Linked DNA regions of Caenorhabditis elegans. The protein of the gene in region 4 binds, or shares a complex with, the protein of the main gene of each other region. Each region holds a gene or a part of one and is shown on either strand. Other genes may lie near its edges.

The links.
Region 1: eif-3.F (region 4) and eif-3.E share a complex: the UniProt entries of both Caenorhabditis elegans proteins name them as parts of the eukaryotic translation initiation factor 3 (eIF-3) complex.
Region 2: eif-3.F (region 4) and eif-3.C share a complex: the UniProt entries of both Caenorhabditis elegans proteins name them as parts of the eukaryotic translation initiation factor 3 (eIF-3) complex.
Region 3: eif-3.F (region 4) and eif-3.G share a complex: the UniProt entries of both Caenorhabditis elegans proteins name them as parts of the eukaryotic translation initiation factor 3 (eIF-3) complex.

The regions. Positions count from the first base shown.
Region 1 is NC_003279.8:10,640,023-10,643,861, forward strand, and holds eif-3.E (Eukaryotic translation initiation factor 3 subunit E), read right to left. Parts: upstream 2,260-3,839; 5' UTR 2,254-2,259; coding exon 2,164-2,253; intron 2,096-2,163; coding exon 1,820-2,095; intron 1,774-1,819; coding exon 1,297-1,773; intron 1,242-1,296; coding exon 786-1,241; 3' UTR 501-785; downstream 1-500. Other genes in the region: cdc-26 (Anaphase-promoting complex subunit CDC26), read right to left, coding at 1-205; B0511.17 (DUF4283 domain-containing protein), read left to right, coding at 3,007-3,122, 3,557-3,683. UniProt on the Caenorhabditis elegans protein: Component of the eukaryotic translation initiation factor 3 (eIF-3) complex, which is involved in protein synthesis of a specialized repertoire of mRNAs and, together with other initiation factors, stimulates binding of mRNA and methionyl-tRNAi to the 40S ribosome.
Region 2 is NC_003279.8:9,975,910-9,981,375, forward strand, and holds eif-3.C (Eukaryotic translation initiation factor 3 subunit C), read right to left. Parts: upstream 3,754-5,466; 5' UTR 3,752-3,753; coding exon 3,651-3,751; intron 3,603-3,650; coding exon 3,369-3,602; intron 3,288-3,368; coding exon 2,402-3,287; intron 2,356-2,401; coding exon 1,238-2,355; intron 1,187-1,237; coding exon 829-1,186; 3' UTR 517-828; downstream 1-516. Other genes in the region: T23D8.3 (Protein LTV1 homolog), read right to left, coding at 195-377; Beta-catenin homolog sys-1, read right to left, coding at 4,585-4,667, 4,720-5,224, 5,276-5,466. UniProt on the Caenorhabditis elegans protein: Component of the eukaryotic translation initiation factor 3 (eIF-3) complex, which is involved in protein synthesis of a specialized repertoire of mRNAs and, together with other initiation factors, stimulates binding of mRNA and methionyl-tRNAi to the 40S ribosome.
Region 3 is NC_003280.10:8,440,951-8,444,715, reverse strand, and holds eif-3.G (Eukaryotic translation initiation factor 3 subunit G), read right to left. Parts: upstream 1,950-3,765; 5' UTR 1,933-1,949; coding exon 1,916-1,932; intron 1,870-1,915; coding exon 1,817-1,869; intron 1,696-1,816; coding exon 1,616-1,695; intron 1,535-1,615; coding exon 1,152-1,534; intron 1,064-1,151; coding exon 808-1,063; 3' UTR 541-807; downstream 1-540. Other genes in the region: evl-20 (ADP-ribosylation factor-like protein 2), read right to left, coding at 1-70, 121-409; lips-10 (LIPaSe related), read right to left, coding at 2,715-2,907, 3,106-3,395. UniProt on the Caenorhabditis elegans protein: RNA-binding component of the eukaryotic translation initiation factor 3 (eIF-3) complex, which is involved in protein synthesis of a specialized repertoire of mRNAs and, together with other initiation factors, stimulates binding of mRNA and methionyl-tRNAi to the 40S ribosome.
Region 4 is NC_003280.10:9,329,804-9,334,512, reverse strand, and holds eif-3.F (Eukaryotic translation initiation factor 3 subunit F), read right to left. Parts: upstream 2,871-4,709; 5' UTR 2,852-2,870; coding exon 2,699-2,851; intron 2,270-2,698; coding exon 1,755-2,269; intron 1,701-1,754; coding exon 1,562-1,700; intron 975-1,561; coding exon 897-974; 3' UTR 543-896; downstream 1-542. Other genes in the region: scp-1 (Sterol regulatory element-binding protein cleavage-activating protein), read right to left, coding at 1-29, 387-460; wbp-2 (GRAM domain-containing protein), read right to left, coding at 3,436-3,647, 4,148-4,526, 4,623-4,709. UniProt on the Caenorhabditis elegans protein: Component of the eukaryotic translation initiation factor 3 (eIF-3) complex, which is involved in protein synthesis of a specialized repertoire of mRNAs and, together with other initiation factors, stimulates binding of mRNA and methionyl-tRNAi to the 40S ribosome.

The DNA.
Region 1 (3,839 bases), on a different chromosome or scaffold from region 4:
TTCTATCCGCCGATCTGAGATTTCTCCTAGTTATGCCACGTGGAGGCTCACTCTGATCCATCGGCTCCATTTCGTCAATATCCATCATTTCGCATTTTGGCACGATCACAGCTGGAAGTACCCTCTTGTTCAGTTGATCTGTCAGCCATTGGATATCGTCCTCACACAATTCTAATTGTGTTAATGGACGCCGTAACATTGACATACTGAAAAAGAGTGAGATAAATTATTTAATTTCATAAAAACTGTGAATTGGCGAAAATGTGTATTTTTGGAGATTTAATTTTTAAACGGCAAAATCGAACCTATGGCTTAAATATTTCTGTAATTAGCGAAAAAGTAAGGCAAATTCAACAGAAATGACAAAATATACAGATGGAAGTGTTTTTCCTCACAAAAAATAATTTCAAACAATTTCTCGGCAACGGCAATAAATATATATTGAAAGGTTTCATAAACCTAGATTCTAACAATAATCAAACCATGATAAAAGAGAAAATATATTATTTTAACCAATTAGAACCGAACCTCCAGCCCCTGCACTAACGAAAGAAGGGTCAGAGACAACAAAAAGAAACAACAGGGATATAAGGAAAGTTTAGAAAAGACAGAATTCGAGTAGTCCTCGTAAAAAACCGAGGAGCTGAACAAATAAGAAAGAAAAATAATACTGAAAACTGAGAGATGACAGTCTTAATCTCCGTGTTTGCCACATCTCAATTTTCAGAACAGCATCAGATGAAGAAAAAGGAAAAAACATTCAAAACCGGAAGAACTTGTAAAGCCTAAGTCGCCTTGACTTTGTCTTGACGACCTTTTTCCAATTGAAGGGCGATTTGTTGAGCGCGGAGGGTCAATCTCTTCGTGTTTTCCATGACTTGCTCGTGGATGCTGACGGATTTGACACCCATCACCACTTGTCCCAACTTGCTGTCAATTTTAGCTCCTTCGATACGATACGTTCTGATCAAGTCAACAATCCAGCGTTCAGCTTCCTCTTGGCTCATATTCAATCGTCGTGCTAGCATTTCTATGGTAATGCACTGATGAATGCGGCAGAACATCTCGAAAATGAGAAGGCGTGCAGACTCGCGGAAATCTCCAAGGACAGCAGTCAGGAAGAAATCATTGGAGAGAACCTCTTCGCACTTTTGAAGCATCTCTTGAGCCTCGTCGAAATCATATTTGATGTAGAGACAGGTGAGGAAATCAGTGACGGGATCCTTGTAACTATGGCGTTCCTGTAGAAAAACAAATAATTAATCATATTTTCATATAGAAAATAGTTAAACTCACGATGTCAATGACCTTCACCAAATCTTTCAAGCTGTTCTTCTGGCGGCTTTTGCTGGTAACAACGGCAACAGCCAGATAGCGGAGCAAATGTGGCGCCAAAACTTGGATTGCATTCAAATAAGGTTGCTGGTTCAAGAACATTTCGATAATCTCATCACGCCCTTTTGGATAATTGTAGTAGACGAAAAGTGCCCAGTGCATAAGCCACGCACGTTGCGTAACAAGTTCCCATTCCGTGTCGAATGGATTAGCATCGATGTAAGCACGAAGTTTCAGCAAATCGTCACGAGCATGTTCCCATTCTTGGAGCAGAATTTCACTGGCCAACTTTCCGTAAAGAGCGTTCAAATAGTTTGGATCCGCTTGATTGACAAGGTTGCGGTAGTAGTAAAGGCACACGGATGCGACGGTGTAATTTCCGCATTCGTACATGAACTTGCTGTACTTGAAGAGGGTATCGACCATGTCTACTGTGAACTGCAAGAATTAAGATTATTTTCGAAACTGCAAAGCAAAAACGTACATTGTGGTTTTGAGTGAGATGCTCCAAAATACGGACATTTCCATCTCTTTCTCTGTTGTTATCCATCATTTCCTTGACTTCCGGTATTTCCAAAATGGCAACAACGGAGTCCACCTTGCTTTTCAGCTCATCTCTCTCCTTGATAATTTGCTTCTTCTTAGCCTCAATTGCAGCCGGAATAGGTTTTCCATTGTAGGTCTCTATAACACTATCAATCATATTGGTCTTGGTCAAAAGCTGGCGGTGCATTTCGGTCAGGGATTTCTCATCGTAAATCTGCAATTATCATTGATATAAATAAATTCAGCTATTTCAGAATCAACAATTTATTGTTTAAATCTTACTCCTCGTGGTTCGATGAACTCCAAGAGCGGAATGATCAAATGAAGATCGAGAAAAGGCGCCATGCGCTGAGTCAGGTCGAATGTCGACATTTTTACCTGTAAAATAAGCGTATTAGTATAGTAATATGTTCTAATAAAACTCCAATCAATTTTCTTAACGGAAAACATAAATAAAACAAAAACAATGAAATTGCAGAAAGAAAATCGAGAAATTAGGAGAAATTCGCCGGGAAAGGAGGAAATGATAAACAACGCGCGCTATGGAATATCGGAGTGTCGTTGCTACTGCCTGCCAACACGAGCCACCAGCGAAATGAGAACTGCGAGAAGTAGAACTACGAGAAGAATAACCGAAAACTGCAATTTGCGACATTTGAAAAATATTTCGGAGTTTTTTGGTTCTAAAATTTCAGTTAAAAGTTTTTTAATTTAAAATATTCAAATTGAGAAATTACGAACGAATCATAATGTTCCTGGGATTAGGAAGAGTTACAAGATATTAAGACCCGAGCCCGTATCGAGACCCACCCCGAAAAACATTGTGTGGCTTTAAAGCAATGCTTAAATATTGTAATTGTGAAATGTCAGTTTAAAATCACATATTAATTTTTCGAGTGGGTCCCGCAACGATCTCAATAATAGTGTGCCAAATTTTACCGATGTGTCAGAGACACAAGTTTTATGAAATTTCAAATTTTGAAATGCACAGAAAAGCGAACAGTAAAATTTAGAATGCTTTATTATTAATTTTTGGGAACAGACGAGACCGTAAATTCATGTGGTGTCAGGTTGCCCCATTTCGGTTTGATCAACATTAAATTCGGGTATTTGATGTCAGGAGGAATGCCGAATCTACGAAGAATACGATTCAATTCATATGGACCTCAAAACTATGAAGGAGTAATGCATCGAATTATTCACAGACCGTGGAATGGAAAGCGAAGACCAAAAGTGTTCAAGTGAGAATATAAATTATTTGTCGTAGAGCTGGCGAGTGGGCTACATGAAGAGCCCTGATTCTTGAGGGTAGTGTGCCACCCAGTTGAAACAAAACCTGACTATATAGTTTGACTTGTGGGTCTTGGTTACACATATTGTTTCTAAAGATCTTGACATACCGTATTTCCTCTATTAGTTCAACAGACTACTTTACTTTGAAAGGTTATATCTCGGTTCATTTCAAAGATATCATAAAACTATTAACTACAAAACGATATAAAAAGAACTACCAAATATTTCATCAGTTAATTATTTTTGAAAACAACCGAGATATAAGCTCTCAACCGTGAACGATGGGGTGCCATACTAATTGAAGAAATTCTTGCTACCTATCTACTGTAGAGATTAAAGGAAAAAAGCTAAATTATTTTATTTGAAAAATAATAACATTCAGATACAAAATAGACGAATTGGATTGTACACTTGGATGGGATATTGAGAGCGACGATGGACAAATTGCAACCGTCAATTTTATCGAAGAATGCCTTGATTTTGTTGTATGGAAAAACGATAACTATTAATTCAATTTAAGCCAGTTGCTGTTATGTCAGAATACACTGAAATTGACCAAGATATCAAAATAAAAAAGGCAAACAATTTTTAGATCTCAATTTTCAAATAACCGCTAAAATTTGTTCAAAACTGTTTTGGTAGATTTCCAGCTGCCAAATCTTAAC
Region 2 (5,466 bases), on a different chromosome or scaffold from region 4:
AATTTTATGAAATAATGTAAAAAATGCTGATTAAAAAAACATAGAAATTTTTTACTTAAAAGAAGTACAAAGACCAAAATTTTAAGCTATTTTTTGACATATCCTAAAATCTTTTGATTTCATTGAAAAATCGAAAAACAAACACTTTTTTTTAAGTTTCGGTATTTGATCAAATTGATTTTAAGATGACAAACCTCATTAACAGCTCGCATGTGCTGCAAATAATCATAATCATCGTCGTAGTAGACTCCATACTTTTGCTGTTCCTCCAAATGTTCTTGAGTTGGCTTGAATCGTTCACTTCTTTCCCTATTATCCGGAACCAATCGAAAACTTTGACTGGCTTTCTTATCAATGAATGCCTTCCTTTTACCCATTTTGAGGCGAAATTTATGTTTCCAGTAACCTGAAATATGAATTCTATGTTAATTTTTTGTTACTTTTATTGTTGGATCTGAGAAAATAACTGATTGGACAGAACCGGGGCTCATAAAAAATTACTTAAAATTGGACGAATCAAATTAAATATTTCATTAAAATAATATCCGGCAACCCAATATAAATAATTAGCAAAAACAAAACAGTATGGAAAGAGTATAACTTAAACACTACTAACCGGAAACGAAAAATGAGAGCTTTAAAGTTCAGATCTCACACTGAACAAGGAAAAGTGGGAAAGGGTGGGGGATTACCAAAAAAACTGATCAATTAAATAAAAGATTCAACAAGTATTGGCGCCTGCAAAAAGTTTTTGAGACTAATTGCAGGCGCCATGAAAGGCGTATTAGCGGGTTCCACGAATGGGAGAGACGATTGAAAAATGGATATTTAGAAGGCTCGTGGCTTTTGAGGATGACGACGTTGCTGACCACCTTGAGATCCCCAATTTCCTCGCTTTCCGTCTTGTCCTTGTCCTCCACGTCGTTCTCCTTGGTATCCACCAGATCCTTTCTGCTTATCTCCTTGCCGCTCGTTCCTTCCTGGAAACCACGATCCTGGACCTTGATAACCACCACGTCCAGTGCGCGGCTCCAGAATTTGTTCATTGTTTTCGGCAAGAGTTTGAAGTTTGTCAGACAAGTTGAGAGCAAGCATTTGAAGTCTGGAAGGTTCAACACGGTGCATGATGAGACAGTCGGTGGGCTCGTCAAGTGTAGCCGAAAGTTCCTCTTGGATGATCATTTTACTGAAAAAATAAAAAAAAATTATGTACTGTCTAGTAAAATATTACAAATACCTGATGATGCTATGAACATCTTTCTTTGAAAGTTCGAACAAATCCGCAAGCTTCTTGAGCGAAACAGTGGCATAAACTGTAGAGTATGTGAGCAAATAAGTTCTGAGAGATTCCTCTTGAATACGTCTCACAACCATTCCCTTAACAGTCTCAGCGTTATGGAAAAGATTCCAGACCTTCTGGTTCATCTTGTCATTGACGATATAGTCTTGACACTTTTTCCAATCTCCATTCAACATTGCTTTCGATGCGGCGACAACATGTTCACGGGTATTCTCTGGTGGTCCAGTGAGAGAAGCTTTCTCGCTTTGCTTCAATTGGTAATGGAAACTTCTGCTGAGCATACGACGACGCATTTCGAATTCGCAACTAGCCATGTGTGGAATTTCGAGAAGCATCGAACAGATCAGATAGACACACTCCATAAGTTCAACATTGATGTGCATATGATATGGAACTTGACGGGAACGATCAATCTTCTCTTGTTCAGCAGTCTTTTCGTGCTGACGAGTTCCAACAGCTTGAGCAAGCAACTCCTTGGCACGTTGGGTATTTTGAATTTCAGATAGTCCTTGATGAGCTTCGCGAATGAAACCGTGTCGGAAAGCGCAGAGACCGAGTTGGCAGATAGTTCTGTTGTAGAGGATTTGAGTGTCGACATCAGAATGATCAACGATAGCTTGCATGTGACTCATAAGAAGAAGATCTCTGGCGCGGTGCCACTTGTCATGAACAGCCAGATAGTAAACATGGCAGAGCATAGCACGTTGTCTCAATCGTTTCTCATCATCAAGTGTATAGATCTTATTACACAAGTAATCCATCAACTTTCCAGCATCCTCCTCATTTTGATCTTGATATTTGTAGTAGGCATGCTCGATGCGCATCATGTACACTTTGCAAACTTCGTGTTTATCGAAAATGCCAGAATCGTTACGAAGTTCAACGTACTTCTCGGCCTTTTCAATGAGTGAGCACATATCCTTCTCGGCCTTCAACTTCTCGATATAATCATTGGAATGACAATCGGCGTTTTGAAGAATTTTAGCCAACTCTCCGTCCAATCTTTGCACAGCAATCAGAATACTTCCTTGAATGCGATACTCTTGAGTGTCATCCTGCAAATATTAGGATTTTTATTAATTTTAGGAATGCAAGTATTACCTTCAGATTTTCATCTTCTTCAGCATATGTCACAGATAACTTTACACGATCAGTTCCGATGAGAAGATCGAGCAAGCTGTTGACGGTTTGCAGAGTGGTCATGAATGTTTCGTACTCCATGTGATCACTAATTTTAGCGTTCAATTCGAAAAGAGCCGAGATTATGCAGAAACTGATTTTAACGTTGATTCCTAGACCAAGTTCTTTCTCTTCCGATACCTCCAAAAGTTTTCGAAGATTAGCAACATGTTGATTACGATCTGTCGTTCGTTTTCCACGAGCCGACATAACCTCATTGAGTTTCTTAATCATAACGTCATGAGTAACTTCTTCCTTGGGATCAAAGTGAACAACAGACTTCTCACGATTAACTGGAGTCCAATCCGCATCATCGTCTTCCTCGACAGCTTCTTTGACTCTGATAACTCTCTTCTTCTTTTCTTTCTTGTCATCTTTGCTCTCCACGCGGAATTCTTTTTTCAAGAAATACCTACGAAGTTGCTCCATCTTAGTCACACTGTCTTCGTCATCAGAAGAATTGGATTCTGGTTCAGAAGACCAGTTAGAGGAGTCGTCATCGTCGCTGTCACTGTCACTATCGCTCACTGCAGCTTTCTCAGATGGTTTTCCAGGTGACTTTTCAGCCTTCGATTCAGAAACCTCTCCAAAATCATCGTCGTCTTCATCTTCTGGAGTTTCATATCCATCCTCGTCAGGATTAACGCGATAATCGGTAACAAGATCTTGCAGTTGTTGATCCTTGATGTATTTTTTCAGTTTTTGACGAAGAGGTGGAAGAGCTTTTGCGTTGTTCTTCGAAAGAGCAGATTTAGCATCTTTATCATCCCATAATTTATTTACGTAGTCTTCGATTTCCACAAGAGACCTGAAATATTTTATATCAACTACTAAGTTTTCATTAGCATTTTATTTTATGATGTGACTGTAAATTAAAAATATATCTCACCTTATGTAAAATCTTGGATTTGCGACATTCTGACGTTGAAAGACCGTCTTGGACTTATCATAAGCTTTGGCCAGAGAATCAAAACCTGTTAGAAGTCTGTTCAGATCTTTGTTGCTCTTTGCATCTCGATTTTGCTTGATAATTCCTTTCAGCTCATCGAATTTTTTGTCCTTTTGGGCACGAACAACACGCTTCTCATCTTCTTCAGGACCGGCCATGAAATCGAGATCATCGCTGAAAGATTAATCAATCTTTTGGAATTACTTTGGAGATTATAATTACCGAAATTTCGCGCTTTTGTTCACTTTTTGATCCTCTACCTCATCCTCGCTGGACGAAGTGTCGGAATCAGAGTCCTCCTTAGCATGGAAGAAGCGAGACATTGCTGAAACAAAATTGACATTATGAAATCCCAAAACAAGAAGCAAACAAGCAGTAGATACACAATTAGACAGAAATTCCAATATTATTTAAAATTTAAAATGAATAAAACGATTTTCCCTTTGAAAACAATTCAAAAAACAGCTAATGGGTCAATATTTAGCTGAAATAAATTTAAGTGGAAGTGGAACATAAGAAAATCGTTGCAAGACCTTACTGGCGCGTTTCGCGTGCACGGGAGATGCGTCAGCACTCGCCACTTGCGCCAGTGGGCATTTGCGCGGAGATTTAAATAATAATTTATTATTTAATCACAATTCCACAATTTCAGGTTAATTTTACAGAACGAGAATAGTCTCTAAATAACTTATATATGAACCGAGTATTCAGTAAATCAATCCAACATTTAAAAAGTTTTATAATTTTATTTTCTATTCAACGTAAGAACATCGAAGAAAGACGTATATAAGACAGGAATTTGATAGTTAAAATGCAAAGATAATCGCGAAAATGTTTTGTATTCAAAAATATTATGCTACAGACGTAAACAAAGAAACAACAAAAAGAAAGAGATAAACCGAGGGCAAAATGAGAAGAAATGTGCTATAAATTAGGAAAATCGGAACGTTTTGTTTGTTCTAAACTCGAATTCATATGAAATCGTCAAGAATGAGGAAATTTGGGACCGGTAGAAAATGAAGAAAAGAAGAGAGAACATATTTTAATCAATAATACGACTATGTACACGCTAAAACAGCTTCCAACTAGACGAATTAATGGCTTTGAACGGGGATTTTTGGGATGAAAGATGGAGTTGACAGATTTATCCATTAAATCAGAAATATTCTCGATTTGAAAAAATACCAGCAAGAAGGTCGTTTTCAGGGAAGCGACTCAGCAGAGAATTCGCGGCTTTAGCTGAAAAAATGCATTGTAATTTAATTTATGAACACATTTTCGAGACACATACCTATATCTGAATTTCTATGATTCGTCAGTCCTTCCAACATCGGCCTGTCAATCGTCCAAATATCCGCACGCGTCGGGCAGTGCTCCAAAATCTTGTCACATACAACAAGCACATTGTGAATAAACGTTGGTTTCACTTGATTTCCGTTCAGCAGATTTAATGGGCAATCAATTGAATACGAGTACTGTGCCACCTCTTTTTCAGCTCCACATTGCTCCATGAGCACAAGCAATAAACTTATGGTACGTTCAACAAGTTGCTGCTTTGTGGATTGAGTTCTTGTATTGTTCGGTTGACGAAAAACCCATGAATAGGCGGCACAAATGTGTCCTATTAAATTTTCCTTCCGATTTTCATCAATAACATTCAGAACACCGTCTTTTGGAACAAATGGTGTTCGGAGTAACAGTATAAAAGATCGGAGAATTGTACTTCGAAGTTCCAATAAACCAGGTGTATCCATTCCTTCACATGATAAACAACTCATCAGTTTTTTCAGAATATCCTGAAATAATTTAATTCATTTTTATATCGTTTTTCAAATTCCAAAACGTACAATTTCGATGAATTTGCAGACCTGCTGCTTTTCATTCGGTCCAGCCGTTTTCGTTTCTCCATTGGGCGTTGGAATCCACATCATCAGGAAATTGTTCAATGTACGCAGACAATTGCAAATAATTTCACAAACTCGATTTCTTTTCGGAGCATCGGTAAGTTCATCTAGTCGTGGATACTTTGAGATTATCG
Region 3 (3,765 bases), 890 kb from region 4:
AGAGAAGCACCGGCTAATCGTTCTTCTCCGAGCAATTTTTTGAGTTCTTCGGAGCATTGTAGAAGACGCTCTGAAAAAAGTTTTTATAAATTTGAATGTATCCTAAATATTTGTTTCTACCTCTATCTGACGAATCTACCACCCAAATTAAAGCATCTGTGGATTCGAAATAATTCTTCCAATAAGATCTTAGACTTTTCTGTCCGCCAACATCCCATAAGTTTAGTTGAAAATCTTTGAAATGCACGGTTTTGATATCAAATCCTAATGTTGGTTCAATTGTATCAGTCGGCTCGTCGAGGAATTTTTTCATTAAAGTAGTCTTTCCAGCGTTGTCTAATCCAAGAATTAATATTCTCATCTCGCGTTCCCGAGCACGTTGCTTACGGAGAATCTTCAAGAAGCCCATCTGGAATTTTTGAGTTATAAAATGTTCTATTGCGTTTGAAAATTTTTAGCCATCAGATTTTTATTCAAACTATGATATTTTACATTGGACAGAAACCCAACTCGATTGGAAAAATAGAACGAAAAAATAACCAGGAAGAGATAGATTTATCATTGAAGAAAGAAAAGGAAATACCAACAATTTTCATAGCTAGAACTGCCTTCGTGAAAATAAACTTCACTTGCCAACTCTGATAACCATAGAAAGTAAAAATTATGATTTCAATAGGAAAGAACAACAAACATCGAATTGGTCTACAGTAATTTTCAGTTTAGACAGACACTAGCTACGAAATTATGAAGAACCAAACAGCGGGAAAACATCCAAGTACGCATAACATAAATAAATCAGAAAACGGATTAGTTGCTCGGACGTGTCCATTCGACTTTGAGAACCATATGGTACATTCGGATATCATTGAGTTCTGCAATTGCACGGGCGGCGTCATCTCTTGATTCAAATGTAACGAAGGCGAATCCTTTCGGGAGACCAGTGACTTTGTCACGGGCAATGAAGATTCGGATGACTCTTCCAATCTTTCCGAACAAATCACGAAGTTCGTCTTCGTTCATCTCTTGCGGAAGATTGGTGACACGGCATGTATTCTCATCGGATCTGAAAGTATGTTTTAAAAATAGTTCATAAATTATTCAATCATCAAGATTTTTTGGGCAACTTAGATTACAGTATTTTGAATGCTTACCGATTTCTATCGATTTGTCTTCCATCAGGACGCATTCCCATTGCCATTCTATCCTTTTCAGTATCCTTGTCAGCATCAGCTTCCTCGTCCAATTGGTACATGACCTTGTAAGGACAATGAGTACTCCAATGGTCGTTTCCTTTGCAATGACGGCAATGCTCACGGCTTGTAGTTTTAGCAGTCTGTTTGTCTTCTTGAACGTCAAGAATCTGCTCTCCTGCGCGATTTCTTGTGAATTGCATATCGACTTCTTCAGCCACGTAAGTTGTGGCAACTTGGGGTCCTGCTGGCTCTCCCTTACAACTTCCGAATTTCACCCATTTTTTGCGATCAGCGACGACTTTTGGTACACGTTTGTTGATAACTTTGAACTGTGTCACAACCTGAAATTTGGAATTGAAAGAATTCTAGAGCATAACTCGAGAATTCTGTAAGGCGAATTTTTTGGCCATCGGATAACAAACCTTCCATCTTACTCCATCAACCTCAGTGAAAGCTGTTTCGGTACGTGTTCCATCAGCTCCTTCCTGGATGTGTGGGGCGTCTGCAAAAGCGTTCATCAGTTCATACAGAAATGACTCGTTTTGTTAGGCGGTTGCACTCCAAATGCGAAAACCGTGAAAGTTCACGTAAATATTCTTGAAGACGAGAAATGAAAAACTTACTGTCTTGCTCAACGGCCTCAGCCCAGCTTACAACTTCTGGAGCGGGAGCCATTCTGAAACTTTCTTTACGTAAATAATTATTCGAGGGTGAAAACTCACGCGTTAATGCCAGTCATAGCTGTAACTTTACTACCTGAAAAACTATTGATTATGTTTTTAGCAATATAAAATAAGAAAAAATTTCAAATAAATGGTTTAACAAACTTCAGAATTAAAAAGAAACAGCTCTTCAAAACATGTAGATTTTAAAGTATTTGATTTTTTTTTCCAGAATAAGCGAATATTCAACTAGATTCATAGTTTTTAGCAAATATCTATAAAAACAAACTATAAATATGTAAAAAAAATATTCTACAACAAAAACACGGCTGGAAATCTTTTAAAAATGTAGAAATATCCCGAAAATCGAAAATTTGGGAAACAACGACGCATTGGGAAATCTGTGCATTTGCGCGTGGGATCATGTGTTTGCAGAATTGCGCACCGTATTGCCCAAAAGCCAAATGGCGCCGCCGCTCCGGTTTTCACAGATTATTCAGTCTCATCGGAAGAGATTTCTGAAGAAAATAATAAATATCTTCGTTTTCGGAGAAAATCACAACATTGTATCATGTGTCTAGATTGATCTGCGAAATATAGCAGTTTCCTATCTCTATTCTTATGAGAATTCTTACAAGTCGCCTGATGGACTTGATCACTTGGACGAATTTAACATTCTGATCATTTTCGTTCAAAATACCAATTTAATCAACGATTGTACTGATTTATTAAACTTTTGAACAATATACACACAAAGTTTTGAATGAAAGCAACGAGTTCGAATCAATATAAACAAGGAAATTAAAGAGATCACAAGTGAAATTTGATGTCAATTAGTATTTTTGGTGAGATTTTGTTTTTATGAGGTTTGAAGAGCCCTCCATTGATCTTCTGTAGTTCCACCAATAACTGCTCCATGCATTAGTCTAGTTTTGACGATTGAAGTGGCTCCTTCTAATGGTGAGGACATCTCTCCACACGTATTTCTGAGTCCAATAACTTCGTCAGCTACGGAATAAATGGCGAACATGTTCTTTCCGTATTGGAACGGCCTGAAAAAAATGTTGACTTGTAAAATCATGAAATTAATGTTTATGTGTACAGAAAACAACGTAATTAAATTTAAGTATGCCCTAGTATACCCAAAAAATGAAAAGCCTTGCTGGCTTAGTGGCTAAAAGTTTTGCCTTTCACGCACACCTGCATGAGTTCAATTCCCTGTGCTGGGATACTTTTTTTGCGAAACTTACTGTGAGTTGATCTCTTGTAAGAACTTGGAACGGCAATCCAAACCATGTGTTAAACTACAGATTCCATTCACAAATGGCTGCTTGGCGCACATAATAGCTCCGTGATTTGCTCCACCAACAGAAACATAATTATGAATTAGATGATTAATTGGGCGTCCCAAATTGACTCCACTATCAACACAGTGTCCTCCAAGAATAGCTTTTCTGGTAATTGGAGATCCCATGGAGCAAGCAATGATGTTTACTGGTTTCTGAGTGTATTCATGAACAGCAAGAATGAGAGTGCGAACCTGAAATTTTAGAGTTACAGTTTGGATTGCAATATTCCTTTCGTTGATTGTAATCCCTATTTCACCTATAGATTCCCCTTCATCTTTTCTTTTAGAATATCCTTCTCAATCCGGATCCCTTCCGAAAGATGTCTACCCAACCAGTCATTATAAATCTGTGTTTTGTGTAGTTTGTAAACAATCCCTTCTTTTTTCGGGTCACGTCCTTTTTCCGTTTCAACGTCACTCCGGCCGTTATCAATCGGGTCTTGAAAGATCACCGATCATCCCTTTGTTCTCTATTTATCTATATTAACAGACGAGATCAAACCCAGAAGTTATAGAAATTCCCCCACAAGGCCAGTCTAACTGTGACCATCACAAACTACAC
Region 4 (4,709 bases):
GGCAGGCTTTTGGATGGGCGGCACATAATCTGAAAAATTTTATTTTCGGAAACTTGGTTTTTTTGCTAGAGAAATTATTAAGAACTATACTTCTACTTTATTCAAAAATTTTCAGATAGACTATTAAGAAATACTGATGAATTGGACACAAAAAGCATGCGAATGTCGAAAAAAATTATACTACACTCGGACAAGTAATGCAAAAATTTTAATGCAAAAGTATATATTTAATGCAAAATGAATGAGGAAAAATAGCCAAAAACTGTGAAACTATGATTTTGTAAAATGCACACTTGTCCGAGTGTAGTACAAAATCTCTCGTACATGGACACTCGTTTTTTTTCGGATTTATGTTAAAATCCATGATAATTTTTCGAAATATTTACCGTCCATAATCGTGATATGCGTTTCCAATTCTCTCCTTAGCCTCCTTCCATCGAATTTTCACTCGATCGTTCATTTTTTATCGATTTTTTCAAAATTATTTTCTCATGTAGATCTGAACGCTCTAGTGATAATTTCAAAATCAGATTATTCCGAGCCCAGATATAGAAATTCATGCAAAAAACAATTCAGTCATCCCATCAGACGCCTTTAACAACGAGGTTTATCCGATAGAAAGTGATCATCATCAGAAACCTTCAAACATTGATTTTTCTTTAAAACCAAATCAATAAGAAGGCTAAATTATGAGAAAAAGAAAACAACAAATACTAATTTCAGACAATCCATTAAAAAAAAAAGGCAGATAGATAGAAAACATGGGGAGAAATATTTTAAGAATTGGAAGAAGGATGATATAAATGGATGGAAAGAAAAACAACAAACGCCAACCAAAAAAAAATATATTAGAAAAAATCGGGACAAAAACGAGTTTATAGTGTGGAGAACAAAAATTAGGCCGACACAAGACGTTCGTGAACTTGAAGTTGAGTTTGAGTCAATTTGGCAAGGTACGAAACCATCACGTAGTCCTGAAAAAGAAGAAAACAAATATTTGAAGAGGTTTAGCTTTTTTTTGTTTTTAGATTCTCGTCAACTGCTTTTTCTCGCGGGCATATTGTTTACATGAGTATACACCCATTTTTCATGGTTTTTGGTCATTGAGAAGATAGGTTTCACAAGTTTTTTATTTACAAGTTTCTATTTATGTGTTTGTGCAATGCTCTAATTGAGATAATAATAAAGACAATTTAATTGTATGCATAAATTTCAAAAAATTGGAAACGCTAATTTCAAATTCGGGAGGGTAGCGGATATCATATCCCGACATCTACCGGGTTTCGCGCGGCACAGAAAATGTATAGGCATTCCCTAAATTTGCAGATTTTTCGTGTTTTTAGCTAAAGATTTAATTTCCTCAATTTTTGAGAAAAAAAAACTAACAATTCTGTACTAAACTGAAAAACGTATAAACTTTACTAATTTCCAACAAAAAAACTTTTTGAGGTTATTAAAAAAAACTATTTTGATCAAGATATTCGAAATTTTCAAAATCACGTACGAATATTACACAACTTTTCATTTCTCGCTTTTTAAATATTTTTGGCTGAAAACTTACACGAAGAGTATTCTTGACAAGAGTATCGAGCTTCTCTGGCTGCATATTGTTTGACGAGGCAGTGACAATATCCATGAGTTGACGACCGATTTGAGCATCTCCTGGCTTCTCACCGTTCTTGTTAACATCTTCCACGTAACTGAAAATCACGGTTTATTCTCCAATTAAGATAATTTTAAATGTTAAAACTCACTGCAACATTCTCTCCAACCACTCAATCATCTGAGCTGTGCTCGTCTCCAATTGCTCCAATCCACTTTCAAGAGTTGCCTCTCTTCTTCTGGAATCCAAAGCTTTTTCGATAAGTTGCATAGCAACCAGTTCTCCCGGGAATGCAGCTAATTCGACACGAAGTGGGTTGAAAATAGCACAGTGTGGTCCAGCAGCTCCAGGAATTCCGGCTTTTGAGCGAAGATAGGCACGAACTGGCATACGCTTTGACATATCTCCAGAGAAAGTCGTGTCAATTGTCAAAACGACAATTGGTGGAGATTCACGACGAGCCGATGCTTCAGTGATGACACGTACATAGTAGTCGTGATAGATGAGACACGAAGAAGTAATGTCAGATGTTGTAAGGAACCATCCAACTGGTTGCTCATTTGGAGAAGTTTTCTTTAATGCAGAGATCATTTGTTGATTGAATTGATCATCGATTTCCAAATCGTCGTTGCTCTCATTGAAAGGGATCGCGAAACAATTTGTGACCTGGAAAATAAAAATTGGAGAAAATATCATGAATTCCAAAAAAAATATTATTAGCGAAAATCATCCATTTTGCAAACTTTTCAGGGTTACAGCGGCCAGAACTTGCTTCTAGTTCCACAAAAATGCAATAAATTGTAATAATTGAATATTATTAAGTTCCGACCTTTGTGACACGGGAAAGCTTGCAAAATTGAAGATTTTAGCTGAAAGTATACTTTTTTCAAAATTTTGGCATATTTTTGTGTGAGCACTTGAGCATTCGGTCATTTTGAGTTTTTATTCGTTGTTTTAGATACTTTTTCGGTCGATGGTATTTACATAAAATTAAAAAAATTAGATTAAATACAGTTCCAGACACCAATAAGCTTGCAAAATTTCAGTTTTTTCAAAAAATTAGGCTCTTTTTTCTGTAATTATAAATATTTTTACCTGAATCGATCCTTTCTCATAGTATCCCATAAGTGTTCCCATGCACTTTTCCTGTCCTGTATTTTTCGCAGAACTCTTGGTACGTCTCATATGAGTGTCGACAACATTCATGTAGACTCCCGGGTGGACATTGACAGTTAAATTCGAAGCCATATTGACTTTTTTCTGAACCCTGTAATTGAAAAAAAAACTAAATTAAAGAAATAATCTGAATCAAAATAGTAAATTCAGCTGAAAACTGAAAAATGGTTTTGAAAAAATCAATAAAAAATATAAAGTTCTTAATAAATATTTTAAATTATTTATTTATTTACAATTAAAAGAAAAATTGTGTTTTTCAACGAAAAAAAAGAGAAAATAAAATAAATGTTCTGTGAATCAGAGAAAGAGATATAATTCCACTTATACATATATACTTTATCCTGGGAACGAGAGGGGGCATCAAGAGAGAGAGGGCATAGACTTAGTCTACCGAAAGTTTATAGTTTTATCACAACTTTTACTTATATTCACATGAGATTTTTAGAGAGACGTGCAAAAATTAAAAAAAAAAACAAAAAATAAATGGTGGAATTTTAGATAGTTTTTGTGTGCAACTAGACTTCTGAGCTTATTTGGAATCATTTTTCGATGCGGAAAAAAATTATGGGTAAATTGGCTTTGTTTTCTACGTGTTTCCCCATAATTTTGAACTAAACACTTTCTCTAATGTCATTTTTTGTTGTTAAATTTACAAGTTAATTTCTTCGCCTCAATCCATCGGCTGTTTCTCCTGAACCATAAGCTGGTGGTGCTTCAAATTGTCCAGCAACATGAAGTTCTTCAGTTGGATGTGGGCCGCGTTCTGGTCCGATTCCTGGATATGGTGGTGGTGCTGAGCTCATGAAAACTCGTGATGGGTTCGGCTGATCTGGGAACGAATCGGTGGTTGGATTGAAACCATTTGGTCCTGAAAATGTGAAATCTATTATTAATCGGATTAACCGGGGAATAATTTTAAAATAAAAAAAAAGTTAAATGCGGTTTAATATTATTTTTCTAACGAATTTGATAAGAAAACCATTAAATCCAAAGAAAGATGGTAAAATCAATTCAAAAATCAACAAAATTGTGAAACAAAAATGCAACGAGGTGGAAGAAAGTTGCATTAGAGCACGTTTTCATTTTTGCAAAACTGTCTGACCAGAACTGAAGATTTTTGGTATTTTTAGCAAAAAATCTCTCTTAAACAAAAAGTGATCGAAAAAAAAAAGAAAAAACTCGTTTTTTTAAAAATTAATCTTTAAAAAATTTTAAAAAATGTTTCAAACTTGGATTCCTTTTTTTTTCGTTTTTCAAAAAAGTGAAAAATGTTCAAATTCATACAAATCTCTAATGATTACGCTTAACATTTTTTAGGTAATTTTAATTTCGAATTCAGGATTATTTTTAATGTTCAAAAAATCTTACCTTGATCCGGCGACGGCTGATAATAAGCTGGCGGTGCAGAGTAGAAATCTCCAATTGGTGGAGAATATGCAGGTGGAGCATTCTCTGGTCTCATTCGAACAGCTCTTTCGACTGCTTGCAATAGAGATTGCCCGAATTCAATACATCCCCCTCTGTTGAATGTCATTCTCCATTTAACCTCTCCGCGCATTTGTCCTCCTTGAACAGCCGAGGCGATTCCACATAGGTAGTTGGCTCCGAAAATCGGCTGGTTTAAGTTAACATCTTGCATACTGTTGAATGGAATTTCAAATGATTTCAGCCAATCTCCAGGGTCTGGCATGAAAATGATTCTGTGTGATGTGAGGTAGATGGTTCCCGTTCGACGTCCTTCCAAATTCTATAAATTCGAAAATATGATTATAATTTTCAGCATTTGTGCTAATGAAGATTTTTGGTGTTTAAAAGATATGAAAAAAATACTGCAATAAATTACCTCATTTTCACTGGTTCCTAGTGTCATTACTACTCCTTGTGCAAAAATCACGATGGTTTCTCCATTATACAGTAGGACACCAAGTCC